Lepisosteus oculatus: one gene and its partner. The protein of the gene in region 2 purifies or fractionates together with the protein of the main gene of each other region. This does not show direct contact. Links are inferred from orthologs where the notes say so. Each region holds a gene or a part of one and is shown on either strand. Other genes may lie near its edges. The genes, in order: foxa1 and nkx2.1.

What was found.
Region 1: the proteins of nkx2.1 (region 2) and foxa1 purify together in Homo sapiens (affinity purification with western blotting; 3 studies listed by BioGRID and IntAct, with this or other methods). This does not show direct contact. The link is inferred for Lepisosteus oculatus from reciprocal best matches to the Homo sapiens genes NKX2-1 and FOXA1.

The regions. Positions count from the first base shown.
Region 1 is NC_090703.1:4,614,777-4,631,672, forward strand, and holds foxa1 (hepatocyte nuclear factor 3-alpha), read right to left. Parts: upstream 7,799-16,896; 5' UTR 7,681-7,798; coding exon 7,609-7,680; intron 6,285-7,608; coding exon 5,034-6,284; 3' UTR 4,319-5,033; downstream 1-4,318. Other genes in the region: uncharacterized protein ttc6, read left to right, coding at 12,885-12,985, 14,047-15,268, 15,716-15,829, 16,814-16,896. UniProt on the Homo sapiens protein: Transcription factor that is involved in embryonic development, establishment of tissue-specific gene expression and regulation of gene expression in differentiated tissues.
Region 2 is NC_090703.1:22,233,520-22,250,092, forward strand, and holds nkx2.1 (homeobox protein Nkx-2.1), read left to right. Parts: upstream 1-7,772; 5' UTR 7,773-7,995; coding exon 7,996-8,362; intron 8,363-9,480; coding exon 9,481-10,154; 3' UTR 10,155-10,733; downstream 10,734-16,573. UniProt on the Homo sapiens protein: Transcription factor that binds and activates the promoter of thyroid specific genes such as thyroglobulin, thyroperoxidase, and thyrotropin receptor. Crucial in the maintenance of the thyroid differentiation phenotype.

The DNA of each region.
Region 1 (16,896 bases), about 18 Mb from region 2:
GAAAACAAGTAGCCGTTGAAGTCTAGCTTCTGTGCGCTGCCTACTGGTAACATATGTCTCGCATTAATAAAATCTGGCCTAGAACAATTGACAAATTCAAAATGGAAGGAGGGAGACACCTTATTAAAAAGACAAGTGGCCTTGAAGACGTTGAAGATGCTTATCATCATCGCGATCCATATGCCTCTTTTTTCAAGGCGTGCAAAGAGTTGACCATTTGTCCGCCTGTCCATCTAAACAGATAGGGGATGTATACGTATCTTACATTTATTCTGTTGTGTGATATTAATGTGTTGAATTTCTGAAGCTGAATCTATGAGATACCGTAGCTGTTCCGAGATTTTTCGCGGATCGATTAGTCTTCGGCAATTCCCAAGATTCGGTATCCCGAGCCCTGCGCTGGGATTAGATCTTCAGTGCAGCGTTCAGGTTCCATTATTTATCTTAAACGAATAATCGTTTCTACTTACTTAATCGTGTTAGGTGACGCAATTTTTAATCACTCGCGTTGCGTGTTAAACATTAATATTGAAGGGGAATCACGTTTTCTCCTTTAATTTAATGGCTTTTATATGGGTAAATAAGTTTTAAATGGTACACAAACATTTTATGAAAATCTTATACTGTCCATATATGTGCAACTGTCAGAGAGAATATTAGATTTTTCGTGAAAATGTAGGTAACTTTAAACAATATATGCCTTTCAACAAATCAACAAAATCGTTCATTTAACACACGTTTATTTAAATTTGTTTTTCGGGTTAGATTGTCTGAACGTTTGAGGGACAGAAATAATTATAACTTTCTAAACAAAGGGCTCCCACTTTTCTGGGTAATGGTAGTAATCATAAAACTCACACGTACCTCGAATTCGTGCCTTTCCCCTCCCCTTAAAAGTTAAATAATTAAAAAAATAAATCTGAATAAGGACAGAGTTTCACTTCTTGCGGTTTACTATGCGGCGAGATATTATTCAGGGCGAAGTGAAAAAAAAAACATGCGCATTACGTCTGTTTAAACAGCAGTCCTGCATTTGGGAACTTGATTTGTCCAAAGTTCAGAGAATTCTGATACAAACACCTCTTCTGTTTACGCCTCACAAGGAAAATCGAGAGAGACCGATTAATCTTTTATTATTGTACTAATACATTTGGACGTCAAAATATATTCACTGTATATGTCATTGTGTCCAGGTTTGTTTCTTCTTGAATTTGTGTATTTTCTATGTAACTGTGAAACTTCATACAGGAGATTTATTTAAGTTTGTCTCTATTCACTTCCGACGAAGAATGGGTGAAAATTGCTGCCTATAAATGCTTAAATGGTAGGCTTAGACTGATTATTAAATTAGGAACTGGGGTTCTCCTTACATTTTGGTACAGATACATACACCTGCTGAAATAATAGTATTCACGGCAACCTATTGCACTTGCTGTTTAGGAGGTTCAGTTAATAGAATTGTTTGTAAATTTGTCCTTTTTAACTTTGCCGTTTGCTGGTCAACAAACTCGTCAAACAGCAAGTCTTATTTACCTCTTCTGAGCGATTACTAATCGATCTCGATGAATATTGTGAAATCAACAAAAAAAAACTTCATTGATTTCTGAAAAGTAAACTCTTTTTTTTCTGAAACACCAAGGAGCCTTTCTGCATCTTTAAACTTAGGAGTATTGTAAATATTAACATTGCCTGTACGAAACTTGGGAGGGTGACGCTTGTCTGTGTGTAGGCACAGAAAAAGTCGGTTATTAGCAATTTCTAGCAGCCAAAAATCGTATTCAAGATGAAATGTGTGTATATTTTTAGCTGTTGTATAAAATAGTTAAGCAAATAAGGCAAATGTTTATGGTGTAAACACTTCCTGTGATATTCAATGTAATGAAAGACCAATACATATCTAATCGAATTTATTCTTTAGAATATTTATTTGACGTTTTCATGTATTTAACGAACAGCTGATTTTTCACAGAACCATTGATAAAAAAATTAAACATAGGCGTGCTTTTAATTAGACACAAAAATAGGTTTACCCGTGACATTTAAACAAAACAGATAAAAAATATCTGACGCGATCTCGACAGTTAGCTGCTTTAATTGATGAACGACTGTTATTCTACACAGACCCGGGGCAATCAGTTGTATTCTTAATACTGCAATAAATTATGAAATAAGTATATTTCACACTTCCGCTTTGTGAAATAATATAAATGTAATTCAGTGGATATAAACTACCCGCATGCGGTAATGAATTAAGATATTAAATTTAGAAGCAATTACAAATAAACCATCGCCGAGTCTGGATATAAGGTCTTCATCCTGTATTTTCCTAAACAGCGATGAGAGCGAGTCAGGGCAGCTGCTGAGAAACCCTTTGGCATCAGGGTCTCAGTAAATTTCGCGCATTTTCTGTCCGCAGAGTAAACTCCGGCTTCTCTCAAGCAACTGCTGTTGCAAACTTTTGTGAAAGTCCTTAACGGTGGACATGGAGAAAATGTGGTTTTTAAAGACATGCTGTACATAGCCTAAAAAGTTCACATCCCAAAACGCGGACACCTAAATATCCCAGGGCGAAAACCATCTGTAGTTGATGGTCGTTTTCCCTTTATAACAGTTAATTCAATTTAAATATGTTAAAAACGCTGGACGTTGGGAATCTCACGTAAGGTGCTACTTTCAGAGTTGCGATGCGTATTGAGGTTATTTAATGCCGAAAGTGTCACTTCACCTGTCGGACATTTTTTTTTAATTTTCCGATCGTGAATATCAAGCAAAGTGATACGTAAACGACTGCGCTATTCATGAAGTGCTTTGCTATCAAAAATCAACCATAACAATGTCTTGACGGCTTATTCATGAATATTTCCTATAATTTTTGTTTTAAATGCATATATTATCCTCTTTATTCTAAAATAAAAACTGCGTCATTGAAGCGGTATGTACATCACGCTATTTTATGTGAGTTTTTTATTTGTGGTACAAGAGTCAGACAACGAGGTGTTAAATTTAGAAAACGTCTTAAAATCTGTAACAAAAAATGAAATAAATAGTTGCGCCACGTAACTGACATGTGTTGCTAGAAGGTATGCTTGTCATAATAAGTTTTCAAACGTGAGTAACAAACATTCAAACTTTAAAGACATGCTCTGGTAACACAGGTTTTCTAAAAAAAAACGTATTTACCAGAAAAATAAATATTTCATTAAACGTGGGAAAACAAGATTTTGTCTTTACCCGATGATGTGTATTTTTTAATCAAAACTCAACGAACGGTTGACTTCTAATTTTAAAAATAATTCAACCCATGTCCCTTTTAATAACACAATTTATTGATAAAATTGAAACGTTTATCACAAAAGTACGAAACTAGAAAGACAATAAACGATACGCTTTTACACAAACTCTGTGTTTTTAACGGTGTTCAGTCCCTTCTCCAGATTAGACAGCTTTCCTAACTCAATTCACTCCATTTTATTTGCCCATCGGGGGGCAATTACAAGATAATTAAACGAATTTCATGGTTCCTCAGCCAAAGTGTGTGTCCACAAAATACCATGATCAAAGTAAAATCTGTTCAGGTTCAAAGTCCCTTCATGTAAGGTTACAAATAACAAAATGATGGTTTGGCTTAATATGATATTGTTGATTCCCCCGTTTCAAAAGGCCATGCGCAATTTCAGCTCTCCCTGCAGCTGTATAAGCAGTCGGCATTTTCTTGTTTTGTGTTTGTTTTAAATAAATCTTACAGTGGCGAAAATTTTTATTTTTGTTTGGATCGGTTAAGTTTTGTTTAAACGACAATTCTTGAAAACATAAAAAAAGGAATAGTCCGCTTTTTATCACAGCGGCGCCGCTGACGGCCGTGAAAACGATTAAAATTACACTGGCGGCGATTCACGTGGCTTTCAAGAAAGGTGTCAATTAAATCATGATAAATACAGGAAATAAGAAGGACTCGCACACGACCTGTTACTGTTCAGTTATCTTTGCGGTAATGTCCATTAACATGTGAAAAGGGGATCTTTCGCTCTTTTCAAAAGCCTATTTCATGAATCTTTTATCACTTTACCTCCCCAAGTTTATCACCACCAAAAGGATAATTTTGCTGCCGGGATATATAATAAAAATACATCTAGTTTTATTAACACTACTGAGATAATATTGTTTCGTGTAATATGCAATTATTTGTAACGCAGGTCGGGATAAAATAATAATAATTGCAGAAGTGGCGCGTTAAGAGTAAAATTTAAGGAGAACACCTACATGCCTTAAATATATATATAAGATCTTTATTTACATCATACAAGACACTGTGAAATAATTATAATGGTTATATAGATTTTATTTTTTAAAAGGAACATGCAATAAATTAAAACACATTTTGGCATCTACCAAAGTAAATATTTGTAACAAAATACAATATTGTTTTTTTTACGAGAATATGCATGATCCCACAAAAAGAAAGGTCAATTGTAAAATATCACAACAAAGACGGGGGGGTTGCTTAATATAGAAATGTGGGTTTTATTTCAGTTTGTGCATTTGACCACGGTGGATGAAATGCAGTTTCTTAACACAAAATTGTACTTTTTCGAAACGCATATGTGCCAAAGAAACAAAATTATACAACCAACGCATAAAAAATGACAACACAGATGACCTGAAAGGCTGAAACACAAAGATTGTGTGCTTTTTTGTTATTGTTGTTTTTTTTTTTCATTCAGCTTTTCCAAGAGACCTCACTGACCTTCATTTGGACATATTGCAACAAGGCTGTAAACAAACTTTGGTGCCGTCTACAGCTGGGGGGGGGGGGATGATACAAGCTCAAAAAAGTTTTAAATACACCTTTGCAGGGCGTCTGCAATGATTCTGACTTGGGTTATACAATCATTCAAAGGGCAGACCTTTACAGTATACTTTTTACACATACACATTTTTTGTACAATAAAGTAACAGTCCAAATGCACGAGGCGTGTGCAATAACAAAAGTGTGTTTTTCTTTCTCTCTCCAGTACGGAATAAAGCAGCTGAGACTAAGAGGTGTTAAGGACAGGTCTCGAATACACACCTTGATAGTAAGAGGCTTCTATTGCTGAAGGGTCCAAGCTGGCTCGTCCGCCCATTGAAGTACTGCCCAGCGGCAGAGTGGCTGAGATGCCAGACCCGTAGGAAGAGTATTGCAGAGCCTGCTCGTACGCTTTTAAGTCCAGTTTGTGCTGCTGCTCCGAAGAGGACATGAGGTTGTTGATGGAGAAGGGGTGGTTGAAGGAATAGTGGGGATCGCCCTTGAGGTGGAGCTGGGGCTCGTGGGCCATCGAGTGAGGGGGAAGGGGGACGGAGGCCAGCGCGCCGGCCGAGCTGACAGCGGGGTGGCCCTGGGCCCCGCCGGGCTTCAGCTCGCCGGCGGCCGTGCCGCTGCCGTGGTCCATACTGTGAGGGCTGGGCGGCTGGTTTGAGCTGGAGATGGAGCCCGACTCCATCGGGCCGGGTTTGGCGTTACTGCTCTCGCTCGAAGGCGAGCCGGAGCCCCCGGGCTGCTCCTTCCTGCCGTCCTGAGGCCCCTTCCCCCCGCCAAGCCGCTTCTCGCACTTGAACCGTTTCTGCCTGCGAAGGTAGCAGCCGTTTTCAAACATATTTCCAGAATCCGGGTGCAGGGCCCAGTAGGACCCTTTGCCCGGTTTGTCCGGCGACCTGGCCACTTTGACGAAACAGTCGTTGAAAGAAAGGGAATGCCGTATGGAGTTTTGCCACCTTTGCTGGTTCTGCCGGTAATACGGGAACAGGTCCATTATCCACTGGTAAATTTCGCTCAGCGTGAGCATCTTGCTCGGCGCCTGCTGAATAGCCATGGTTATAAGAGATATGTAGGAGTACGGCGGCTTGGCGTGCGGGTAGCTTCTCCTGAACGTTTTGGTTTCCCGTGCCCTGTTCAGGTTGGGCTGAGCGTAGGCCATGGGGCTCATGGCTGGGCTCATGCTGGAGTAGGGGGTGAGCGCGTTCATGGAGGCTTGCGGCGCCGGCATCGCGTTCATGTTCGACGGGCTGAGAGCAGCGCCCATGGCCGATACCCCGCTGGTCATTCCGTTCATGGCGCCGGGGCCACTCGGGGGCATGCCCGCCATGGTGCCGGGGCTCAGCCCGGCTCCGAGTCCGGTGTTGGCGTAGGACATGTTGAACGAGCCCGAAGTCATGTTCCCGCTGGTGGACATGCCCATGTAGGTGTTCATAGAGTTCATGGATCCGAGACCCGCGTTCATGCTGCTGTTCGGCACTGATGAGTAGACCTGTACAGCAAAGGAAAAACAAATATTTTTACATATAAAGCCCCACATTCAAAACCGCAGGAACCATTAAAAAAAAATAACCAAATCGTCTTTAAACTCGTATTTTTTAGGTTAAGGAAAACAGCTGTAGGCTAGTGCGGTTAACTCGTTTGTTTCACGTTAATGTTATATTGCGTTTAAGAATTAAAGATATTACTCAGTTCTTAAGTTGTTTGTGTAACCTGCACTTATTCTAAATTATCTGTTCAGACATGGCGTGTTGAACAGAAAACATTGATAACTACATGAAAAGAAATACATTACAATCTAGGGTAAAGAGGCGAGGACCAAGAACAGAAGTGTACAGAACTGAATGAATACATTTGAAATTGTTTTGCATATCATGTATAAATGTGGGGATACATAATAAGCACAAAAACGTCTCTGTCGTAATTTGTTCATTACTGAATAAGTCTTCCAAAAATATTACCTGTCTCCTCATGAAAAATGGCCTAAGGTTTCACGGTAAATTATTCAAAAACTACGGTGATTTATTTACATTTACTGAGCATTGCATTGAGAGATATTGCAAATGCTAGGACATTTTAATATAAGAATATCTGAATAATACTGGATGTGGATTTGCATAAACGCTAGTTAGATGCTAAATTATATTTGTTGATGGTCTGTTTCTTCCATTATGTTGTTGAAACCGTTACATATTTAGTGAAGATAAAATCTCTGCTTTATTTGGCCTGTTTCATTTTTAGATCCCTGTGAATTTCAACTGTGTGAAATCGTGTGTGTGCATATATATGTGTCACTGCTTCCTCTGCTGATAAAATAAGGTTAATTATCTTCCTATTGCGCACTAAGTATAGCCACGGTGCTGCGAGCCTGTTTTTATTATTTGTTGACGTTCCTCGATAACTTGTCTGTTAACAAATTAGAAATGCTTGTCTTCAGGGCCATAGAAAGTCACTCAGAGATCCGTGATGTTCAGGATCTGACCTCACTGCTGCCACCAAGCGTTTCCACAGAATTGGAACTCAGGCACGCTGGATTTGAAGTAAAAGCACACATATACAGTGTGAAAACTGAAGTTTTAAAATGATTCATTTAGCTCAGACACCCACAACTTTACCCGGAACCCCAGAGTCTAATTGTTTTTACTTGGTGTAACTGGAGAAAACAAACTAGTTTAAAAAGAAAGATCAGTAAAAAAAAATCATTTTAGTGAGGAACATTTCAGTTCTGTCTCTTTTTGACATTACTGATGCTCGGTTTTCTTTCTAAGCCTCATTAAATTTTGTTTCTATTTCCAAATAGAAAAAAAAATACTTACCTCTTGGGCTTCAGCGTAATAGCTGCTCCAGTCTGGAGTCTCGTGTCCTTCCATTTTTACTGTACCCAACATTATGGAGGAAAGCAGCAAAATGACACCATTCAAACTTCAAACCAAAAGTTAGAAGGATTCCGTTCAAGCGGTTCGTTCTCAATAGCCGCTCTGTGCAGCAGGATGGTGGAGGAGTGGGTAAGCGCTGAATCTGGTGTGAGTTAGGAGTTTGGCTCTCGGCTGTTACGTAGGAGCGGAACAGCCCACCTCGTTTTTCATTTGTCCAGATCCCATGTCTTTATCTTCGCAAAGGAACACCTACAGCTCCGCCAGCACACCTGCAGCGGTGTGTGGCTCGCTGCTGCTCCGACGGGGGTGTCGGCCCTCGTATTGCATTGAAAAACAAGACTTGAGTTTGTAAACTAGATCAACTACTTTGGACGGGCAGCGAAACAATACGAAAGGAGCCGGGAGCCGGATTGTTTATCACGATCAAATGAGAGAATAGACCTCATACTCCAATCAAGGGAGGATTAAATACTTTTCAGTAGAAGCTAATTTACATTGAATGGACAATACTATTTCTTCACAATTACAAGACGGCAAAGATATATATCATTTAGAAAGTATTTTTTAGCAAAACAAATGGACTCGAGTCTGTTATGAGGGAGTGTATAACTGGCGAATATGCAAGCACTCGTAATACAATGTTTAGTAGGCTTAACACACACACACAGTGGGATAGAGGTTTTCATTTTTAATCAAGGAAATTCTTTATTCGACCATGTTTTTTGGGGTTTTCGGAATTGGAAATGGGACCTTTTAAATACCCAGTGCCCGAAAAGGCTTGGTCTTGTGTTTGCTTCTTTTGTTTTACACTTAAAAGCATGTATACAGAAGGGCAAAACCGCAAAAAGCCACGTGAACGTCAATGAAATGGAAGTACCGCATTGACAAAAAGATCAAATTCCACGTTTAATATCCAAAGAACAATTCATGCTTTTTAATTATTACAGTTATCTGAAATGTACACTGCGAGGCATTATACAGTTCTCAGTGCTGCCTATTGCAAATATTAATTTAAAGCAGTTAATTTATTAGGTTTCTCTATTTTTATAGTTGTCATTTTGCATGGTAGAATACCCTTCTTTTTCGATACTACGCATTTTTTAAACTAAAAAATAAAACGATGTATTTTAAATATCACTAGACGTCTTTAAAGTTAATATAGTGTTAACTGTAAAACAAGCATTAAACAATATTATAACCAAAGCGTTTTAAAGACTTAACAGCGCCTCCTAAAGCAAAACAATCTATCTAAAACGCACCAGAAAAGTGTTTTTTTTTCTTACTATTTATAGTCTCGATATTAAAATCTAATGCCTTATAAACTGAATGGACAACTATCGCTCCGCACAACATATTAATCATCGACTTTTAAAATATGAGTTAATACGTTAATCGAGGAACAATAAATTATTTCTGCAATTTGGGTTTGCAGGTGTGTAGCATCATTTCTGACTAGGACACAGCAGGGCCGAGAGGCCTTCCGCGGACAGAAAGAGAATTTGGGAATGTCTAAATACTCACATAATGAAGCGATTTCAAAACGTCTAGCTTCTTACATCCTATAAAGTCTAAACATAGAGTTTTCTTACGGCCGCTTATTAAATACGAGTTTTAGGCAGCGTTTTATTTGTATTTCAAATGTTTTTTTTGTTTTCATTCATGCTGAAAACTGTAGTTCTTTCGATCTCAGTAAGCCTGCTGTACCGGAGGCGGCCATCGTGTGCTTGGAACAGGCGTCGTGTTAGCAACCTCTCTTAGTCCAAATCTCCTGCTTTGCGCACACTGTTTAACATAGGACACGGGGTTCTCTTTCTACTGTAAATCAATTTATGTGTGAGTAACAAGGGTGATTATCACCCGGGATAGGATTAGCTCCCAATGATCTCACTGTATGAGTGTGGAGAATCGATTTCAGCAAAACAAATAAAATATTTACAAGCCAGGCTGCAGATGTTAATTTTGCAATAGGCCTGGTAGAAACAGAATAACATATACTAAGTAAAATCGGGCTGATAGGTTATCCATGTCTATTATTTATCTGAATGATCGCAGACTTACGGTTGTGAATGTTTTATTTTATCTAGTTTCTTCTGCATCTGAAAAGTATGTGAAACCAAGTAATTTAAGGTATCGAGTTCGTTCCGTAGACTTGCGACTACGTGGGTTCTGGCGCTTGACTTAACAAACGCATCAAGAGCCGCAGAATTAAGTTAATATGCGTAAAAAAAAACTTCACGCAGCATATAAATCAAGGGATTTAACAATAGTTTTGTGCGACAATCCACAATACGCTTTTAATTAATTCTAATATTAAAGACAAGCTTTTGTTAAACAAATTAGGCTAATACTTATACATATTTAGATTTCCTAGTGTAAACATTGGAGGGCCCTGGTACAGAATAAAAATAAAACTGCCAGGCCTCTTTAAAACACTGGTGTTAAATCTAATTAAGCTAACAAGCAACCTTTATCTGGTTATTTTAATGGCAATCGTTTAAATAATATTCTAAGTGTTATCAGAGTAGGACAATACTGTTTTATCGTGGGCATGCCCAATGTTTGAAAGCGCAGTGTGCACTGAAAATCTTAATAAGACGCTTAAAAGTTCTTCGTGTTACAGAAGAAATATTTTGACCGCAATGCGACCAGAACAGAGCACGTAAGGTGAGGTTTGTTTCTGAGCGCTTTGAGGACCGGTTCACTGACTTAGACAAGCTATTCACGGAGACATCCTAACACAGGCTCAGGGCTTTGCTACATATGAATCCCAGGCGGCAACTTCGTACTGAAACTTCACAAAACCAAGCTCCACTTAGCAAACTGTTTATTCCCCGCCCAAAGTCAACCCATTCGTTTAACTTACCGATACGTTTATTTCAACTGAACTGGCTGGGACAGCGCAACAGGCGGTAGTGCTTATTGATGTTATTTCTTGGTTGCGGTTGTGTTTAGTGTTGTTTTTTTTTTTGTTTAGTACTGTATAACGTACGGCTTACCATCATAATTGATTAGGCGAACATAACATAACAGCCTCAATAACGGCAAGTCATGATATTATCACATTCCCGCTTTCACGAATTTTGTCGTCAAGATTAAACATCGAATTTTTATTCTTTATTATGGTTAAAATAACGACTAACTAAACGCAGTACTTAGGTCAATCACACGAGTCATTTGTTAGCGTATGTGTGAATATACTCTTGTCTAAAAATGCATCAATACATCTGTAATCCCATATAAAAATGTTTGAAAACATTTGATTGTTGCTGTAAGGTCACGCATTTTGAATTTACTTGTTTAGAACATCCATTCATCCCAATTCTCCTCCTCCTCGTTTTCTGTCTGGAATGATAACAATGATGTGAATAGGTCTATGCTCTTATTACATGTAGTTCACTGTAGTCAGGATGTCCTCTTGACCTCTTCAGTGCGTTGTAAATGTTGCATTTTATTAATCATTCTGCAACTTCGAAGGGAACGTGGAAGAAACGAAGCAAACGGTTTAATAATAATAAAAAAACGGAGTTTCTGTTCAGTAACAACCAGTAACCACACTGGTTCAGTAGGAGGCACGGAGTGGGTTGCGTCTCAGATAGTGTGGGCTTCGTGTGAAATCGCCTTCCGTGGCTTCTTAAACGCGACCGTGTATTGGATAAAGCGGTGAGAAAATGGGTGAATGTTTCGTTAAAAAACTCACATATATTACCAATAATGTCGATAGAGAGAAATAAAGGTGTCAGGACAATATAACACGTTTTCTCGATTCCAATCGAAACGGTTTTTTTTTGCGATAATTTTTGGAAAGTCCTTTAATTGGCAGTGTACGTGCCAGTACATATTGTTGCTTGATTTTATTCTTTCAAACTTGGATTGTTAAAACACATTAACTTAAAAAATAAAACTGATAATTATTCGTTGCTAACAAATTGGATTTCTATTAAATAGAGTAATAAATGACCTCTGTATATTAGAGCTGTGAAATCTTAATAGATCTGGTGTTTTAATGCCAATTTAACTAATCACGCTGAAGTCTGAATACATTTTTGAATATTTAGAAAGACACAGAGAAATGTTCGGTTTAAGTATAGCCCAAGAACTTCAGTAAAAAAAAAAGAAAGAAATTTGCGGTTAATTTGTCATTTAGTACAGGGGTTACCCGTGACATGGCCTTTCACGCTGTGGTGTGACAGGAAATGTGGACCTTTATGATGAATGCCCAGATAATTAGCATAATTTAAAAATGAGTGACTCAATAAATAAAACACGAGATTAGGGTAGGGTTTTCAGAGCCCTCCTGCGTGCCCAGGGCGTGGCGCGATTTTGAAGATCATCGACTGTCCGGTATTGCAGAAATCAAGCCGATACACAAAATGGAAGCAGTAGGCCTTTTCTAACTTTTTATTAAAAAAACATTTATCTCTGGCATAAATTATATATTTGAATTATTTTTTTCAGAACAAGACAAGTCCCAAACACTCATCCACCTGATGAGCTTTTTCAGCACCACGGACAGGTCTTCCAAATAAATAAAACGCCAGTCCATTATTCTGTTATTATTTTTTTTACAAATGTCCAGACGAAAGGTTTATGTTTTCGCATTTAAATTAATTAAGATATAAATTCGATTACAGGAACCTGAAGCAAATAGGTTAAGAAAAACTGGAAACTGTCACGATCTCTCTGGCGGTATTTATATCGGAGCTTTGTCCCCTATTAAAAAGGCCTACATTTTAAACCGGTCTTTTTCACCGCCCACGATTAGCATATCCCAAGGTTATATATCTTGGTATTTATCTGTTTTCTTATTTTGTTACATTATTACATCATCTACAGAGAGAGGAGAAAAACAAAACAGTCGGATGAATTTCAAACGTAGTATTCCGTGAAACGCACAGCAAATTCCTGTAAGATGTATTTAGAGTTTCCGACGCAGTAGTGGGAAATATTTTGTAATATACACCGAACCCTCGTTTTTTAAAAGAGCTGAAGGCGTATTTTAATGGGATCTAGAAAACAGTGTCTTTTCCTCGTATCTTCATTTTTTTTGGCCATAGTCCGAGCTCCTACTGTGTTCTCAGACAGTCCGGACTAATCAAACCTTTCCACGTGGGCCAGCGCCAGTTGTCTGGTTGCTAGGAGACTTGCTGCACTTTCTGTTTACTGCGCGCAGACATCCAGGCCTCCTGGACAGAAAAAGGCATAAAATGTAGTTATACATGCCGATACAGACGTACGCGGAGAGACATAACTTTAGGGGACGCAAGCAGCTAACGATTTCGAATTACTGCCCGAAAGTACTGCGCTTTTCAATGTCCAGGTAAGGTACTTTACAGGATTGTAAATATTCTTGAAGGAAACTGAGAAATTTGCTTTGATGCAAGCACTGGAGCGAAAAAAAAAAAAACCGAAGAAGGAATAGGAGCCACGCAAGCTCTGAACCTGCGACAGTACCTGCTAATGCCGGAAAAACATTTTACAGTAATAGAACAGTATAAGAGGTAGCTTAATCATAAACCAGCACAAGCTTTATTTGGATCCGGAGCCAGAGTTTGCGTTGTTAAGACTGGCGCAAAATAGGGACTAAAAATAAGATTAGATATGTTTGCTTAATCCCCGTTTTGCGCCGGTGCTTGCCGGCTCTCCCGCGACACTGAATAGGATGAAAATGGATGGATGTTTACTTAACTTTACTTAAGATGTAAACTTTTGCCAAAGCACGACCTGCTTTGATTTTCTTGCCCTAAATTAATCTATGAATATGCGTGTGGAGATTATTTCAGTGCTGCTCGGCATGTTCTGAATCTGCAAACTAGAGGAAACAAAGATTAATTGAAGAGGATGCACCCACAGTAGCCACAATATTGGGCAATGCAATGGACAGATGTGGGGGAGATCTCTGCTTCTCTAACTCCAGAAACGCTTCTTTGATACAATTCCAAGCTAAATATTTCTTATGCATTAAGAAAGGAAAAGTCTTGGTTGCTGTTTTTTGTCAGTAAATTGTTAACTTGCTGAGACAAATGTTTTCAAGAATAGTTATAGGGAAAAAGTATTTATAGACATATATATCTGTACAAACATTTTACAGGATTAATTAGTAGATAAGTACCAGAAAAAGTACCCAACTGGAAATACAGTACAGTACAAACTCAGCTAGACTGTGAAAGGCATTAAACAAGTGCAGAAAACACATGTATGTAGTCAAATTAAACAAGTACTATGTTTTAATAAAGTGCTTGAAAACAGTTGCATTAGACAGCTGTAGACTGTAACTCATAAAGGAACAAATAAAATGAAATCCAAATGCTTTCACATGGCTATTAATAATACTACTTCTTCAGCTGCTGCTACTAAATCTCTATATTTCTGTGTCTTCAGGGGTATAAGGCTAGAAAAAAACAATTTAAGTATGGCAGGAAATCAGAGGAAGCTGCTAAGCCATAGTGAAGAACTGAAGCTGAGAAAGGAGCTTGAGAGCTTACACAAGCAGTCTCAGCAGGATTTTCTTCATTTCAAGCAGATGATCAGCAATTCTTATCGAAATATGAGTTTCCCGACTGTACTGCTGGATTCCTCACCAGATCAATCCCATACGACAAACACTGAAACTCTCAGGGGACTTCACAGTCATCAAAGTACCCTTGAAAATAAAAGCACAATTATTTCTGGTAAGTTGTTTGGCCCAGACAATATTCAGGTAGGCATTTTGAAATCCCCAATTGCCTCACCTCCAAAAGAACTGAAGAAGGAAAGTGTCCAGAACCATATGGCTGGAAGTAAGGAGGCAAATCATCATGTACCTGTTATGAGTTTGCAAAGCTGCCAGAAAGAGTCTAAATATACTAGAAATAAAAGCCAAAACAGTGCAGCCCTGAAGCCCGCTATTGCTCAACAAGTGGGAACTACAAAAATTGTTTTACTGTCAAAACGACCTGAGCCACCTCAGAAACCCAAATCAGTACAACCAGTGACTCGAGGGACTCGGACCAGAGTACGTGCTCCGGTGACACCTGCTGCAGGAGAGTTGGGATCAGCTACAATGAAAAACCAGCTACATAGGAACAAGCGAAGAGGGACGAGTGTAACAGTTCCACAAGTCTTGAGCTCTGACAGTAGCGATGAGAGTGAAAATAATGACGATTCTCACTCCGAAGACTCTGACGAAAGTGTGCGCTCAGAAAGTCACCGGAAACACAGAGGAAAGGCTGGAAAGAAGAGGAGGAAAGTGGGGACGGAGAGCCATCCCTCTGCACGGCATCAGCAGCCAACATCTGTTGACAATGGAAACTCTGCGAGCCGGCAAAGCACCGTGGGATCCAGCCACGCTCATAGTGTGAGGTCTGCTTCAGAGCTGCTGGAGGAGGCTATAGACATAGCTAGAACAGATGCCTCAGTGAATGAGAAATACTTCCAGCAGAGACAGCCAGAAGGGTCCACGTTAACAGCAAAGACACTGGTTAGGGACAGTGCAAGAACTGTGGATGAAATATTTGCATCTCTGCAGTCCGGGAACAACACAGACTCCCTCTCGGCATCGGACCAGATGATCAAAGAGCTCATGGAGAGAGTGCTTGGCCACAGCTATGGTAGTGAATGTGAGGTAAGTCAATTGGAACAAGACAGGCGCTCAGGTCAACATCTTTTAGAATATGATATTACCGCGTGTTGTAATAGAGAAGATAGGAATAGGATACTGTTTCTTTTCAGTGCTTTTTGCTTCTTAATCTGCTGAGGATGACTTTTACATTGTGAGTTGTATGCTTAAATGTTTAGACTGTTGGGATGTTTTAAAAGCGTATTGTCTCTGTTTTGAGAATGGAAATGGTTTGTTTTGGAAATCTAAATCAAAAAGTTAAGCTGTTTCACCAAAACAGAAGACAGTATAAACCAATAATACGCTTTTCTATATTTCCTTTGAAATTTACAGTGCATACACCAAACATTCAAAAAATGTACGTCCTGCAAGGGGATTGCTAATTTCTTTCTTATGGTCTCGCACTTTGAAGGCAAATAATGTCTATACCATTTTCTTTTTGAAAATCCACAGGAAAGTGTTTCAAAAGACGATTCAACAAATGAATCAAAGCTGATAAAAAGTGAAGGACCTGAAAGGAGTGAAGCAGAAGATTTAAAGGAAGATGTCGATGGCAGGCCAGTGCAGGTAATTTAAACATTAAGTGTGTGCTGCATATTCTATAGTGAATAATTCTTCAAGTTTTCATGTTACTGCACAGCACCTAAATAAAGACAAAAGTATTTAATAAATATTTTTTTAAATAGATAATGTGTTATTATTTATAAAGTGATTAAAAAAACAACAGTTGAAGGGTGGTTGTTTTTTTCACGAAGGTCACTTTAGTGGTATCACTATTTCATTCAGACTGTAATGCCTATCATTATACTCCACTAATACAGGACTCTAAAATCACCAGCTGCTCCATTACTCCCCAGAGTTCTTCCTAAATGGCAACTCAAAAGTTTAACATAAAAGTGAGAACATATTCGACAGGCATTATTTTCACAGGGGATAGCTTTCTTAATTAGTTACCATGCTGTGGTGATTCTTATGTTGTCTTGTTAAGCCTAACAGCGTCCTGTTCATTATTTGGTTCGAGATCAAGTGATCTTTCTGTTCCTGCAATGCTAAAATGGAATATTAAGTAAATATTATTATATTTAGACTTGTAATTATTATTTCCAACCTTATATACTGTAGAAGATAGTTATTTAATTCAATTCTGGTGGTTACAAAGCACAAAAAATGTTAAAATTACAGAGTATTAGCACAACACTTGAACTGACAGATCGTGACTGGCTGCTGAAGAAAATACAATTGCAAATACATCAAGTGCTATGATTTCTAATAGTTACACATATGTGGATTTTTTTGTCATTGGAACATTCTCCTTTCTCATTTTGTGACAAAGAGTAAAGTTCAACAGATAAAAACAAATCAGAAAATGTTTCTATCACTATCATTTGAGTTTCTATCATTAAGTTTTAACTTAATAGTTTGATTTTGATGTACAAAATTGACGGTAGGTAATGAAGATACACAAGAATGTTCCTCTAACTCATAATGTTCCAAAACAGAAAACCTCTTGACTCACAGTAATTTATTAATGTTTAATGTTTATTTTGCCAGACTCCAGATGCGTTAAAAGATGACATTTTACATCAAAATATCCCCATGAAAATTATTCAGAAAAAAGATCCAGCTGGAGTGTC
Region 2 (16,573 bases):
AATTAGGCGATGCTTTTGAAACTCGGTAATTAGTGGAGTAATATATCCCCGCGAAAACATGTCACAGTTCTAATTACCTTTACCTTGCATGCTGTAATTAGGTTTAATTATTGCTCTATGGTACACACCTATAGCAAACGAACACTGAGAAATTAATTTGGCATATACCCTTCCCTCTGGGTTAGTGTACGTACTACATGAGGGCTGGTCTGTACATTTATATTATTTTCTTCAATATGTTGATTCTAAGGGAAGAAGCTGTATATCTCGGTTATTTGAGAGTGTTACTCAGTTGTAGTCTACGTGTGACTGATGTGAATTTGCTCAAATCAGCGCGTTGCAATATTAAATCTTCTTACCGTCTCCTAAGACAATAACTACTGATTTAACTGATTAAGTAGAGTTTAATTCCACGATGATAAGTATTAAGAAAGGCATACATTTTCTGTCGTTTGTCTGCAGCGTAAAGAAAAGCTCAATGGTCAAATGTTGGTATTCCTATACTTTTCAGTGGTAAATTAAACGTTGCTTGCTCCGTAGTAGATCAAATGTATTAATTCAATATTATAATGGTATAGTCGAAACGGTAGGTACATACAATTAGTAAAATGTAGTTACAGTAAATTATAACTATAGTTACTCTTTTCTTTTAAAACCTCAGTAGTTAACATTAAGAAAACGCGAATAAACGGCACAAATGCTTCTTCGACATGTAGGCCAGAGATTTCCAACCCCGAGCACTGATTCAGCACGTTTTTGCTCCAGCGGAGTTGTTAATCACAGGCTAATTTAGTTCAGTTTTCTATTTGTGTTATAGCTGTAAACAGCTCTTACTAGATTATCAATAGGTGATGGACAGGCACAGGCGGGAATGAGATTGTACCAGAGACGTCTACCTACAGTGAGACGGTTTCCTCCCGCAGTTCCAGATGGTTATATTTCAGGCCGCACACCTGGACGAGGGCAGCTCTGAAACTCAGAAATTGGTAGAGGGCTGATGGCAATTGCAAATCACATTTGACCGTTTCTTTTAACAGCTGAAAGCAATTTTATACATCGGAGCCAAATAGAAAACTGAAATCGATTAGGCTGTGATGAATAACTTAACTGTTGAACAAAACCCACACCTGGACCAAAGTTGGGACCCACTCCCAGATATGTGCTTTCAGATCCCTGGATATTATATCCCTGGAGGATATAAGGAAGACTGTTTATTAATTAATATGGAATTATATTTCTGATTATGTATAGAATTCGTGTTATTACTAAAGGACGAGACAAAAGGGTAGGAGGACTAAATGTGAATTTGTGCCTAGGATGATAGTATATTGGACAGCATGGTGGTTAGTATTGCTGTCTACAACACTGGGACGTGGAGTTTGTGTGTTTTCCACTTGCCCGTATGCGTTTCATCATAACATCGCTTTATTAGCCCTATACAATTTCTCGCATTAGGAATTCGCCTTTTTGTATACCCCAGTTTGCTCTCCATGAGAGAGCAGTTGGGGTTAAGACTGCTCAACGGAGTAGGATTCCTCTGGCAGATGCGGTATTTGAACCGGCAACCTTCCGGCCACAGGTGCAAATCCTTAGCCACAGAGCCACAGCTCCGCCCACTTCCTCCTGGTAGGTCGGTTTTCTTACACACAATTTAACGACGTACTGTTTTCGGGGGGAATTGTCCCTGGCGGGAGTCTGTGTGTGTCTGTGGTCGTCCCGTCTAGGTTGTAACCTGCCTCCCTTGCTTGCCGAGATACGCCCTGATGCTCCGCGACCCTGAATTGGATGAAGCGGTTAGAAATTGTATGGAAGACAGTACAATGGCACAGACTTGAGTTGACTTTGTGAATTAAAGAGAACCAACTAATTGCAATATTCTATCAATACACTGACAGAAAGGCAAAATCTTCATCTCTGCAAAACAAACAGCGCAGAGCATATTAAAACTACACTATGTCCCCAGCAGAGGTCGTTATATGTCTTTTAAATGTCCAAAAAATCAAAGTAGCCGTTCTCTGAACCTTCTTAATCTCCTTGTCCTGTAGTTTAAAAATCCTTTTAGGCGTCCATTTACCCGGATCTCAAAATCATCCATACTTACAAAACTTTTTTTTCTGTAAAGCTCTTTTTAACGATTGAAACATTCCAGTCTGCCGTAGTAAAATACACATTTTCATAGTTTTGTTAAAGCAATGATCCCCGTTATCTTAAGTGTCTTTCTATAATAATATCTGTAAATCCCACAATTTCATTGACAAAAACCTGCTCGAACGATGATTGTTTTATACACCATCGACCTGAAATAAACCATCCCTCCAAATGAAAACTTGCCTTTTTTTATTTATGTTTTTAAACATGATCATTTGGTGCGATAGATTCTTCAACCACATGTCACGTTATAAATGACAATTCCGTTACCTTACGGAGAATTTTGTTTCTTGTTTGCTGTCTTAGTTATGTCTTTGAAAAGACCTTAGCAGCATGATTATGATTCTGTAGCTATGCTTAAACGTCTTCTACACATTGGAGGAGAACGACATTAGAGATTTCTCTTTCAAAGTATGCAAAAACATCATAATTTAAATGTTTATACACGTTTATATAAACGTGAGTAATGTTTTTGTTACTGTGTAAGAATGACACGTTCTGTGTTATAGTCCAAGCCTTTGTTTGGCAACAATTTATACAGCAACAATAATAGTGCTTTTTCAAAGTTCATAAGCATATTTTTCATAATCGCACGTAATATCATCTTCCCTCTGGCACGGGACCATTTGTCTTTTTAGTTCAAGAAACGAACGCTTTAAACAATAAAGTACAATGAAAAAATTCCTCCCTCCATCCATCTCGCGAGCTGGTTGAAGCAGAATGACCTCATCGTCTTCTAGCAAGAGTACTAACTGCGCTGTGGGCGGCTGAGGCTGAACGGACAACTTACGTACAGAGACATCAAGCAATCTCTCTCCTCCAAAGAAGTGGAGTCTTAGAATCACTTTTATTGCATTAGTCTCATGCAATAGTATCTACACACTGTGTGTTTGCATGGGAGAGTGAGCAGTAAAGAGCATTCTTAAGATACTCCAGTTACTGCCAAATTTAACGACATCAAGGCTACGTTCTCCAAAGCACAAGGTTTGGAATAGTTTCAGTTAAACCATTTTTGGAGTTCGGTGTTTTAAACTCCATCGAATGTATCATCCACGTTCAGTCAGTGCAGGGCTCTTGCGATTTCTCAGAAATAACCACTAGCTAAGCTTTTGCAATGGTAGAATACATACTTATTCTTAACTCTGAATAAAAACGACCTCTTTCAGTAGAAGGAGTTTTAAATAAAGAATTTTGCGAATCGTGCGACGTAGCAAGATTCTAAAGACAGGCTCGTAATAATCTTTATTTTACATGGCGCCTATCTTTTCATTCCTTGGCTGGTCTCGTATATGAGATATACCGGTTTTTAATACAAACAGTACTGAAACTGTACCTCAAAAGTAAGGCGGGAAACATTGTTCTTAAAATACTATTTTTTTACATTGAAGATTGATTTATATTATCTTCAATTTCCCAGGTTAATTGCTTAACCACTTATTTTAAATAAAATAAATTGCTGTTTGGTATATATATATTGCTCGTGGAGTTTCAGAATGATATTCTCTGGCTTGTTGGAAGTATCTGAAACTACAAAATTCTAAACAGTAGTCCAGTACTAATGAAAGCACGTGTCCACCTCTTGTTCATTATCCAGAGATAAATGTGTACAATATGTATTTACCTGTCGTTTTTGTTTCATATATGGAGCACAATTAAATATCTGTCTTGGTTTGCTTAAATATCGAAAAGCCAATTACTTTTTTTTTAAATCATGATATACTCTAAATATCGTATAGGAAAGACTGGACCTGTGTCATTATGGCATTTGTATTAAGTACCCGATATACCGTTAAGCATAAGCTTGTTCCATAATCGTTACTTATTGCGAGCTTATGTAGAGGTTTTATCATCTATCGATTACACCAAAAATAGAACTATGCACAAGCTACATTAAAAATTAATTTAATTTTAAATGCTTTGACGTTGTTGCCTAATACGCTCTGTTGTTAATGCGAAAAACAACTACAATTTAAATATTCTTTTAATAGTTATACCAGTGTCTTCTAATACAAAATAACGAAATATTGACCGGTATTCATAAAACATTTTGCTCTTACCGATACTATTGCAAAATTTATAAAGATTATAATGAAAAGTAAGATGCTCTAGAGTATAACAGTATGATTCGACTAATGAATGACGTGTTAAGTAATTTTTCACCTTTACTGCTTACAGTATGTGGCCGTCTTAGGCCTTAATGAAAAAAAAAACCCGAAGGTAACAAGGAATTGCATGATAGCATTTAATGAATGTAAGCCATTAAGACAATATTTTAATTACTCTTAATTGTGTGATGAGTGTTTGCACACGCAAGAAATAAGATTCATTGGTATAGTTAGAATTTGGCGACTGACAAGCGCAATGCAAATTTATGTGCAGATGTTTCGGGAATTTCGGATGCTTAGGCCCTTTGCGTTTTCAGGCATACAATAAAGACTCTCCTTCTCATCTGCACCATTTCTCTTCAAAGTGAAAAAGGGCTAATAACGTACCGGCTATATTATGTTAAATTAGTTATGCTTTTTTTGCTTATTTTGTGAAAAGTTACATTTCTTAACAATACTTTCCTAGCCATGAAAATTGTTTCGTTAGCAAAAATCACAAACCGTATTTCAGTGTTGACCAGCATTAGGTTTATAGCAACTAAATGTAGCGCATGCAAAATGTCGAGCATTAATAAAGCAGATACCTTTATTTCCTTTTAAGCAGCCCTGGATGTATTATACTTTTTGATGAATGTGGTAGTAGTCGTAGCGGAATCACTGGTAGTTCGACACGAGTGCTGCTCTTGGTTATTTTCTGTGGATATTTATTTTACTAGAAAAATACGCGAAACTCTGTCGCTATGGGTTTCACATTTTATATTACTGCAAAACTTTACAGGATTTCATATTATTGTAATAATTCTTCTGTATCTCGTGCGTAGCCGAAGCATTGGTATTATTAAATCACCCGAAAACCATTGAAGCCCCTTCTGTCTGTATTTTGAGATGCTTAGTAATCTAGCACGAATAACATTTAACATAGACGACCGAGGGTATCAGTTGACCTTAAAGATGACTAGTTACACTGGGGAATTTCAGTCTAGTCATCAGTAGTGGTGTCATCGGTCCTCCTTAACTCCAACCCAGCCCCCTCCTTTGTGAGAAAAGAATTCAGCACAAAGGTATTGATAATAATCTTTCCTGGAAGAAAATGTTCAGTGTAATTTGACAAAACTAACTGTTCAGATAACGAAAACGGGATAATTAAACTGTCATTCATGTAACCCTGAAATATAACATGCATCGTATCAAATGTTATATAAAGTTTCCATATATTTATAGTATAACATTCAATAAATTATTCGGAATTAAAATGGTGCAGTATTTTCCATACCAAAGTTATTTTTCTGTTTATAGAGTATTTTCTTTAAAGGTCCTCCAGAAGTTATCACGAATCTTTTTCTTTAATGGCAGAGTCTGAATTTGCTGAATTTGCTCGCACACAATGCAGTTCCAGCTGTCAGTGCTTTGAAATGATTACATATAAATGCTATATAATGTTTGCCAAGATCTATATTTACACACCATGTTGACTATGTGAGTTTAGAGCTTAGGTTAAAGCATTTTAAACTCCCTTTTATGTACCAATGTATTCCCCTTCCTATATACACCCAAAAAGTGTTGAAAACGGCACAGCAACAGGAACAATAATCTATTGAGTTAAATCAACACTGTAATGTAATTTTTCCCTAAACGTAGATCTTCCACGCCTCAAGAAATCGTTCCAGTCCTAGAAAAATAAAAATGGTTAGTGTTCGCTGATTTCAACCCAAAACTGCTATACTTATCTTAATAGGTTTATGAGTTTAGGTATCGCGTTTCCTCTGTATTGTTGTTCTCTGTGTTCTTTGCTAGCAATTCTAAATAATCCAGCATTTTATAAACACCCATACACAATATATGCGTTCATTCTCAGTGGGGTATCTAATTTAATTAGTATTGATTTTAACACCTGCAACAGGAGAAAAGTTACACAGAAGTGTTGGAACTTGTATATCTCGCTTTAAATTTCCATTTTCAGCTTCCTCGAGCAGGTGACTGATGTACTGTATATCCTCTCTGGGGTTCCTTGATTGAACTAGTAAAAGTCGTGTTCCATAAGCTTCAGGGATTGCTCCATCGAAGAAAAATTACCCCTCCCTGAACTGAGAACCTGACAACCAATTAACTTATCAATAAATTAGTAGAACCGGGCGAAAACAAAATGCAGTATAACTCGATTTTGCGCTTTTCAACAAAATAATAAGCTCTCTTAAACAACGACTGCGTTAAAGTAAACCTGTATAAAACGATTCCGCAAGTCGCACATCAGGTGAAGTTTAATACCATTTGGCTACGTTGTGGTTAATTATATCAAAACATCGTTGAAACAACCTCCAATTTTTGACGGTAATTCTGATTTTCTTTATACTGGATGCGTAACTGAAATTGATCATGTACTGGATCGTTGCTCTCTTTCCATAAATCATTTTGTATCCTATGATTTAACGTCAAAATTAACAGGTTTCGAAACATCTCAGATTCCAACAGAAACAAATGTTGCTGCCCATTTTCAATGCACAGACAAGACCCGAAAGATTTAAAGAAACCCGCGGGGCTGTCTTTATTTTTCCCTGCTTCCTCGAGCTTCGTGTGCTCGTGGGCTCACCTCTCCCGGAGCACTGAAGTGCTATCACCGCCGGAGGGTTTTACTTCGCTGATGTTAACTCTCATACCGAAACCTTCGTTCTCCTGAGCGGGTTTCTTGGCCGGTGAATGAGGACTTCTGAATTGAAGCAAAGTGATCCTTATGTCCTAATATCAAACATAGTCACAATACGGTCAATCATTTACGCAACCACTTTACCAGGAGATATTTAGGGTTTTTTTTTCCTCCACAGTCGCAAGTGCACTTTTGCATTTCTAAGTACGATCAAGCATAATGCAAACACGGTTTACAAGTGCAATCACTGGATGGCTCTCAGATCCATTAAAAGTCAGGGGTTCAACCGAAGCTTTTGAAATTGTTTCCAGTATTAAGTGGTTTCCCTAAACTCTTAAGTCATTACTCATTTTTATTTATGTATATATAGTGTTTGTGTACTTGTATGCAGATTGATAGAACAGATAAGTTTGATAGATTGATACGAACATACCTAACCAAAAGTCTTGGGCTATGAATCTGGGTACTGGAGATAACGGAAATAATAGTGCTGTATACAGATACATTAAAGTGAATTTTATTCTTAAACCGAGAAATTGGTGAGACAGGAAACCTTCTCTCTATCGATGTCTTCCTCGCCTAACACACTGCAGGTTTTGGATATTCTTGACAATGCAATCCACACGTGTTCGGATCTGTGCTGAATGCAGGAGCTGCGTTTTAAAAGAACGCCATTTGCACAAACTTTCACTTACCACAAACTAAAGTTTACAAAGGATCGGCAACGGAGCATTTAGGCAGCCCGTATCATTTAACATAGCAGAAAACACAACCACATTTCTGACAAGGGGAAAACTTAAAGGTGTTTACCTTGTGATCAGCACGTAAGCTAATTATGCCGGGGAGCGATGTGGATAGGGCTTCTTTGTATTGTTGCCCTGGCTGCTTACGCCCCGCCTCTGGTGGCAGCCTTAAACCTGGCGCCTAGCTAAAACAAACGAAAGAAAGCCCCGAGCCTCCACTCAATCCAATTAAGGCGGACTTCAGCCACTCTCTTACGTGTTCATCCAACAAGATCGACGCTGAGACAGCAGTAACAGGGCTTTGTCAAAAAAAAAGATTGCCTTGCCTTCTAATTTTTCCCCCTCCAGCCACAGAACAATGTCGATGAGTCCCAAGCATACGACTCCTTTCTCTGTTTCCGATATCTTGAGTCCCCTTGAGGAGAGCTACAAGAAAGTAAGTATGGAGGGCAACAATTTAGGGGCTCCCCTGACAGCTTACCGGCAACCGCAGGTCTCTCAGGCGGCTATGCAGCAACACCACATGGGGCACAACGGGACTGTGCCCGCTACCTACCACATGGCTGCCGCGGGGGTGCCCCAGCTTTCTCACACTGCCATGGGGGGCTACTGCAACGGCAACTTGGGCAACATGAGCGAGCTTCCGCCTTACCAGGAGACCATGAGAAACAGCACCTCGGCCACCGGGTGGTACGGAGCCAATCCGGATCCGCGCTTTTCTACAAGTAAGTGGAACTCGAGTCTGACTAATTAATATGGGCAGATGATGGAGAGCACCCAGCGCACACCCGGTCAAACTTCGGGAAGGAACCGCTAATAGTATAAAGAAAACTATTTCAACTCATGATAACATCAAAGTGATAAACTCGTTGTATCTGTGGAATGTCAAAACCGAACAAAATGACCTAAATAAAATAGATGGAATTGCGGGTTTCTCTCAGGGAGGTTTGAATGTGACCATTTTGCGCCATTTACATAGTCAGATTTGGTTTTCAAAATGAATCTCAGGAATACGCACTGAACGATTTGTTATCAGTCATATAACGACTGAATCAGTGTTACTCTTAGGAATTTCAGTATTTTATAGTTTGTGAGTCTTTTCGAAAAATGGAAATTGCACCGAGGTACTTAAATTAACAGAGTTGTCACTGATGTACTTCGGTGTTCTTTGTTATTGTGTGTTCTTTCCGTCGTCTTTCTTGCTTTCATCCCTCAGATTTTTGCTGGGAGTTTTTTCCCTGTATACTAAGGCCTATTGCAGCGTTGAATCACATAAAATAACTTATACATGACTGTTTTTCCATTTTAGTTTAATTGTCAGCCAGTAATATGTAGGACGCTTATATTTAACACACCGTGTCAAATCATTGATTTCAATGATTCGTTTTTTCAAATTTGTATTATGATAATTGTATTATATCCGATTTTCCAAGTATTCCTTACGTACAAGATTTTGTATTGCCCACAGCGAAAAAGCAGCCGCAATAAACCCTACTGACAAACCTCGTTGTTACTTATCATAACCGACGACTTTGTATGTGAATGTTTTTTTTATTATTATTATGCAAAATGGACTTTCTGTAAACTACAGAAAAGGAGAGAGCATAACGTTTTTTTCTAATTTTTCAAACACAGAATATGAACAGTGCAGACGCAGAAGGGGTGACTGAAACAATTTATTTGTGTGGTCTAGTTTGTTTTTTACTATGGAAACCAACGTTACCGTAGTGGTTGCGAACTTTTATTCTCAGAAACGTTTCTAAACTGTGAGGCGTCTTGGGAGAAAGGCATGGCGTTTTTTTTTCTGTTTTCTTATTTGCTAACGCCTTTCTCTTCTCTCCAGTTTCTCGCTTCATGGGGTCATCTTCCGGAATGAATATGAGTGGCATGGGCAGCCTGGGTTCTTTGGCAGACGTCGGCAAGAGCATGGGCCCACTGCAGAGCACTCCGAGGAGAAAGCGGAGGGTGCTGTTTTCTCAAGCCCAGGTTTACGAGCTAGAGAGACGGTTCAAGCAACAGAAATACCTCTCGGCCCCAGAAAGAGAACACTTGGCCAGCATGATCCACCTCACGCCGACTCAGGTCAAAATCTGGTTCCAGAATCACCGGTACAAGATGAAACGACAAGCCAAAGATAAGGTGAGCCAACAACAGATGCAACAAGACTCCAGCTCGTGCCAGCAGCAGCAGCAGTCTCCCAGAAGAGTAGCTGTGCCAGTGTTAGTCAAGGACGGCAAGCCCTGCCAGGGAGGCACAAATACACCGACCACTGCCATCCAGAGTCATCATCAGCAAGGGAGTAACGTTATGACGGTTTCCACTAGCACCACGGCGATGGGACAGCATCAGAGCCAACAAGCAGGCAGCGCCGGCCATTCTCCAGATTTAGTTCAACATTCCGCCAGCCCCTCGTCTCTTCAGAGCCAGGTGTCCGGTTTGTCTCACCTAAACTCTGCTAGTTCTGAATATGGCACCGCTATGCCTTGCTCCGCTCTGTTGTACGGCAGGACCTGGTGACATAACCCCGCCGCAGACTGTTGTGTAAACTCGGACAGCCATTGCTGCAGTTCCAAAGTCTTTTAAAAAAAAGTAAATCCTATTTACTTTCAGTTGGATTTGCAGACGACTAACTGGGTTAAAAAAGGGGGTAACGAGTCAATCAGCAAACTAGAAAGTCCCGTGGAGGTGGGAAGTATTCACATCGCGTTGAATAGGGAAAAGCAATCCCATATTCTTTTATACCAGTTTTAACTATTAGAGCCAACGTGGCCGAGGAAGATGTCATTTAAATACAATTTTGTGTTGGGGAAATAACGAGCGAGTCCATTCCTAAATCAGACGCGTCCTTTGTGTGGGCTATCAAAGACTTTTATAGGGGTAATATAACGTGGCTCCGATTTCTAATAGATTTTAATGTAAAACGTAGCTGTATATTTCTGTAAAAGGTTTGGATTGGATACATAGTTTTTAGTAAACTGTATATTATGTTGTATAAAGTTTTTATCGCCATTGGAAGGTTGCTTGTATTATATTTGAGTTTAACTGTTATTTGACCGCGTACGTTTTATTTTCTTGTAACTTATATAGATATTTGGCATAAATATAGTCATACAAACCTATTAATAAATTATGAAAATAAAATTCATATTCCTTTATTGAACTTGAGCGTAAAGTGGATGTCATTAATGCTCGTTAGAGCACCAGGAAAAAGATACCGCATCAATACACTATTATTAAATGCAATTTATTGGCTGTTCATTCAAATAAAAATTCTGGACAAACATAATAATTTATTTTGACAGCACAGGTGACAAAAATCGAATAATAACTGGCAAGCTGAAATACAAAAATTGCTGCCTTTACCATTGGAAGCTAAAAAATTTTGCGTAGTTGTGGGTTATCGGTGGACTTCTGGAAGAAAATTACTGGCCTTTGGTCTGATAGGACTTAAAAACGCATTTGCCAAAGGTGTGTGCGCGTGTGGGAAAACTAAATATTTGAAAGGGCCCAATGCGGCCGTGGAATGAATTTAATAAATAGTGCAATAGTCCCCCTGTAGTACACGAGCAAAAAGAAAAAAAGTGTATACTCATGTTATTTAAACAGAGCTAGACGTAGGTTTACTATTATAGCTTGCCGTCTAGGGCTGTTCAAAGTCCACAAACAGTAGTGATCATGGATCAGGCTGTAGGGCTCGTCACGAATTCAGATATTATTAAAATGTTGATGTTATGATGGGGATTCGAGTAAATGACAATGGCAATGTCTCTCTTGCGAATGCAGCGTTTAGTTGCTCTTTTGTTCGATTCTGTGAAAGGTTATCGTTAGCATGAAAGAAATTCGGTCCGCCGGTGCCAGCTCGTGTAACGAACTCTTCGGCTATTCCTACGTATTATTTATATATTGTAACGCAACGGGGGCTCAGGTCACCTGCTCTGGTACGCCGGCTCTTACACAGTACCTGTCGGCCGTAAGCGTTACAATATATATATCCGACGTTTAGTTTTTTTTCTCCATCTGGATTATGTATTCTTGATCTGAATTGTTTCTCGATGCAAACTGGTGGCGACGTTAGAGATCAAGTCCCAGGTTTTACTTTTATTTCGTGTTTTCACATCTGCAGTAAAGTGAATCATTCACTCATTACAGTAATTAAAACAATCATTAATTATTTTTCAGAACTACTCGGAACGCCGTGTTTTACCCGCGAAACATTCCAACAGGTTGACCGTTTTTCTTTGCGAGTACAAACCACCTCTATAATAATATTAATGGGTTATTGTGTACACAGTGTCTTATCTTTGTAGTTTTTAGATTAGGTTAGGTAAACTCCTCTCTCGACTTTTTCGTGGTGGCGGCGTCTCTTTAAGTGTGCGTACCTGCGAATCAGTAAAGGTGAGTTCACCGCTCTTTGGTGCAGGAGAGATCAAATAAACACTATTCAAAAGGCATTTACATATCAATCAAATCCCTGTCCAAACAACCGTATAGCCCTTAAACAACCTCATAAACTATTTTTTGTGCGCTATCGGTTGTCTCTTGTTGGCGGAAATGTGGAAGGGTAAAACACTCAATATATTAAGAAACTGAAAGAAGTCTAAATCTCAACACGCAGGTTGAGAATATTGCAAAAATAATTGCACATGAATTCGGTCTCTAATCCACAGACGCATAAGTATAATCTTTAAATCGGCTCAACGATTCTGGGACGTCAGTTTTGTGTGCGCGTAAAGAATTGATTAAAAGCAACCAGCAATAACTTAGCACATACGTATAAACCACAAAACAAGGATAATGAGAAGGAAAAACCCTCTAACGACTTACAGAATCTGAAATTTAATGGGCTGCCTGAAACGAATTTCTGAAGAAGCCGTCAGTGATATTTTGATCGTGAGGTTGAACTGTTGCTATGTTGTCTATCCCTGACGCTTAGAGACTGAGAGTATTGCTTTCAGAAAAAAAATGTAATAAAAATGCATTTTAATTACAGGTTTGCAGTGGAACAATATTTAAATGTGCTTGTAACTATTTTTAAACAGTATACGCGCATTCAAAGAGCTATAATTGATAGGTGTGAATTATTTATGTATTTAATTCATTAGTAAAATTGTACAGCATGGATTTTGTGTACGTAATTTATTTGTGTTTTAATTATGACGTTTTCACTCTTCCACTGCCAAGAAAGATGTAAACACTGGAAATTAACAATAATACAAACTGATTTTTTTATTTGTAAATAATCTTCATGGTTTAAATCATAATCAAAAAGTATTTCTTAAATTTAAAAGTACAGGCGACCTCTTCGTTAAAGTGTACTAACAATTCCTAATTTAATATGAGCAGTTCGTATTTGTTGTCTTGATGTAGAGAAAAAAGCTCAGCTAATCGGAATTATTAACTGGATGAATCGCCCTTGAAAATCGTTTAAACGGAGGCAGCAGCGATGCATTATTTAGAAAGTGTCTAGGGTCTTGAGCTCTCTAATGGTGTTAAAGTATCATTTACTTACTGTGTGGCGTAATTCTGCGAAGCTTAATTGATGCGAGAATGGTTCGAGCTACTTGAGAAACTAAATCGCACATTTAAAATTAAGTGTGAAAGAGATTATTAATGTTATGATTTGGGTTTCACGCTGATATTTGCTTGACACAACTACGTAGTTACTAGTGCGGCAGCTCAGTTCTCACAAGTCCGCGGAATTAACTGCTCAACTCTATGTAAGACGAGAAACGAATTCCATAAATTCTGTCGTTTATGTTGAGCGCCTGATTTATCAGCTAGAAACTGCATGTTTAGTAGAAATTTATCGATATCTACCTAAAGGAAATACAGTAGCTCATGGTTTTTAGATTGTGATTTTATTGAGGTTTTATTTTTTTGCACATTCCAGAAGAAGGCAAATACGTGTTTAAGAAAGGAAACCTTATGAAAGGTTCAAACCGATACCAGTGTGCACTATTGATCACAGAAGTTAACCATAAGTCAAAACACGGTTTTTAATGTATCAACCGAAGGTCCTTTTAGGATTAACTGTAAGAAAATAATTATGATTTTACATACAAGTACATAACACTGTTTAGAAAATCTTTATCATACGTTATTTTATTAACATACACCATTATAATTGTGAAACGTGCATCCACGTTTAGGCTGTATTTGAATAAATAATCATCTGTTTAGAAACAGGGAGCATCATCTACGGTTCGCATATGAAAATTCTGTTCCAGCACTAGACCTGGAGAACAATGAGGCAATATTGTCACGCAATATTTGAAACACAATGTATTTCCTTAAACGTAATATTTAGCCATTCGTTTTACAAAAACATATTTTAAAATACTGCCACGTATATCATATGTCATCCTGTAAAGTCGGAGCAAAGTAAATCTATCGAAATACCCGATTAGGTAATGTTAGACAAGAATCAAAAGTGTTCATGAAGATTAAGGTTCATTTCCGTTGTTATTGACCTAAGTGTTTTCTTTCTGTATCAATTTCAATTGCCTCACATTATTCGCAGCCCTTTTCGGATTTATCAAAAGTGTATGTGTTTATACATATAGATGCAATTTGCGTACCAAATTATCATTGTTCCTATTACAGGCCAGACCAATGAACATTTTAAGAACATTTCAATAGATGTTTAGTTTTAGGAGAGAGCAGGATAGGACTGTCATGACGTTATCATTAGTACAGAAATAGTCAATAAAACGGACGCGTCGTCTTGTAAATTATTTCCTATAGAATTGAAAATCAAGATGTTTGAAATAGTTACTTGAGATACAAACGAGGACGCTGAATTATATGTGGTCCTTAGTCCGCTGTCGAAATTTTGCCAGAATGTCCAACAGAATGTAGGCAATTATTTAATCCCATGGAGCCTGTCGGTGTTACTTCCAGTCACATATGTCCTTTGATATTAAAGTTCAAAATACACTAAAGAAACCTAAAGAAGATGAATCATTTAAGATGACTGTTCATGGATAATGTCGTTACTATGCGCTGCATTGTACAATAGTGGTAAAATAAATTAATATTTTATCTCCACATTAATTGCTCGCTTTTGGTTTAAAATGTCCAATAAATTATAACTAAAGGCTTGCTATGTATTTACGAGTGCGATACGCCGTGTTTATATATACTGTATAACATTCATGTATATTAAATACCAAGTAATGGTGACAAGGGCACGTCATGGCTTTTGATGTTAGTACGATTTCTTTTTTTTTATTCTGTCAATGGCGAGACATAAACGACGATAAAAGAGATGGGGCACTAATTACTTTTTTATTAATTTATCTTTTGTGTCACCGTGGTATCGTGCGATCGGTTGGCGTTTTCTTCGGTATGATTACCTAGCAAATAATGTCAATTACGAAAGTCCCACATCGGAAAGTGGCTCCAGTGAACTGGACTTGGTCACGTCAGAGACTCCGGTCCTTTTTCAGTGACTCCATGGCAGCCTTCCATTGGGATTGAGGGCACACAAGTAGACTCCCGTTTCCATTTCCACCATTATGTTTCTGCGGGCTCTGGAGTTGCACCGCTTTCCGTGTTTACCTAAAGCCTCATATATCCAGATACATACATACCTTGATCTTGAATTAAAAACATGTGTCCGTTGAAGTAATGAACCTTCACAGCCTGTATACGACGATTAAAATGTGGCGATTAGCTGCATCTGAAGTCCTACTCCTTATTCGTTGCTTTCCTCCGGTATATAACCTACAGTGAAGTGCTGTGAATTTAATAAGGGCCCTGATTATAATGGCTGTGTCTTAGGGTTAAGAGTTGTTCAATCAGTATTACCTTTGTCAAATTATTCTTTAAAAAGCACATTGCCATTGCGTCGTTTGTTTCAGTATTGAAAAAAATATATACATACGTGTATTTGCCTGTGTATCCACGGGTCTATAAGGTATATACAGGATATATAACATGATTATGATATAGAGCTAATTACAAGTTCAGAATTCACCTGTTCCTCCATTTAGGGATCTTATTAAAATCCTGCTTTAAGCAAACGTCTGGTTGTATTAGCAAGTCATTTATTTTTTTGATTTTGCGATTGTCTTGCTTTTGGTGAGGTGGAGTTACAGACTATTTGAAAATGACTAAAACTTTGGGGACTGTAAGGACTGGTTAATCTGGCAATCAAGCGAAGCGTTAACATTGTTTCCCAATATGGAGGGTATTTTCAGAAATACGAAGTGTGGAACTTTCAAAATTCCAAGCGTACTGGGTTACATTAAAAATAGCCTCTGTGTATAGCGGTTATTAAACACACACAAAATCAATAAAAAGGTTATTTGGATAACATCAGAATTAAATTAATAATTACATCTCCTTCCCAGGCAGTGCTTCCCTCACACGCTTCTCACACGTATTTTAATGCTGCAGAATCCTTTAGGACTCTTGGAGAATATACTTTTGTAAACTTAAAGGAGTTCACAAACTTCAGGAGTTCACAAAAGGTACGTTTTCATATACTGTATGCACAACTGTATTTTTGAAAAAGCACCAAATGACATTTCTCTGTAGTATATTTGAGCCCAAAAAAGGCCGATCTGGATACCTTGTTTTGCACGTTTTTTTAAGTATTCAAAATGATGTCGAAAGAAGACTGTTGGAATAGAACTGCACAAATTGTGATAAACTGAGCAGGCAACAAGTAGCTTTAGGCAACGTTCACAGTAACGCAACCGTGTTGTGTTTTTACGTTTAAACACAAATTGCTGTTGTTTTATTTTTATTTTTTCATTTCTTTCATAGCGTATTCATTTTTATGGAAACTTAAAGGCTGAAATGCTTTCTCGTGTATTCTTTCGAAATCTGTAAGCCGCATTCCCTTCAAAAATGTGTCTCAAACTTTTGGAATTGCACCAAACTGTTTCAGGGAACTGTTTTTATTATATAACAATAATAAAAAAACAATA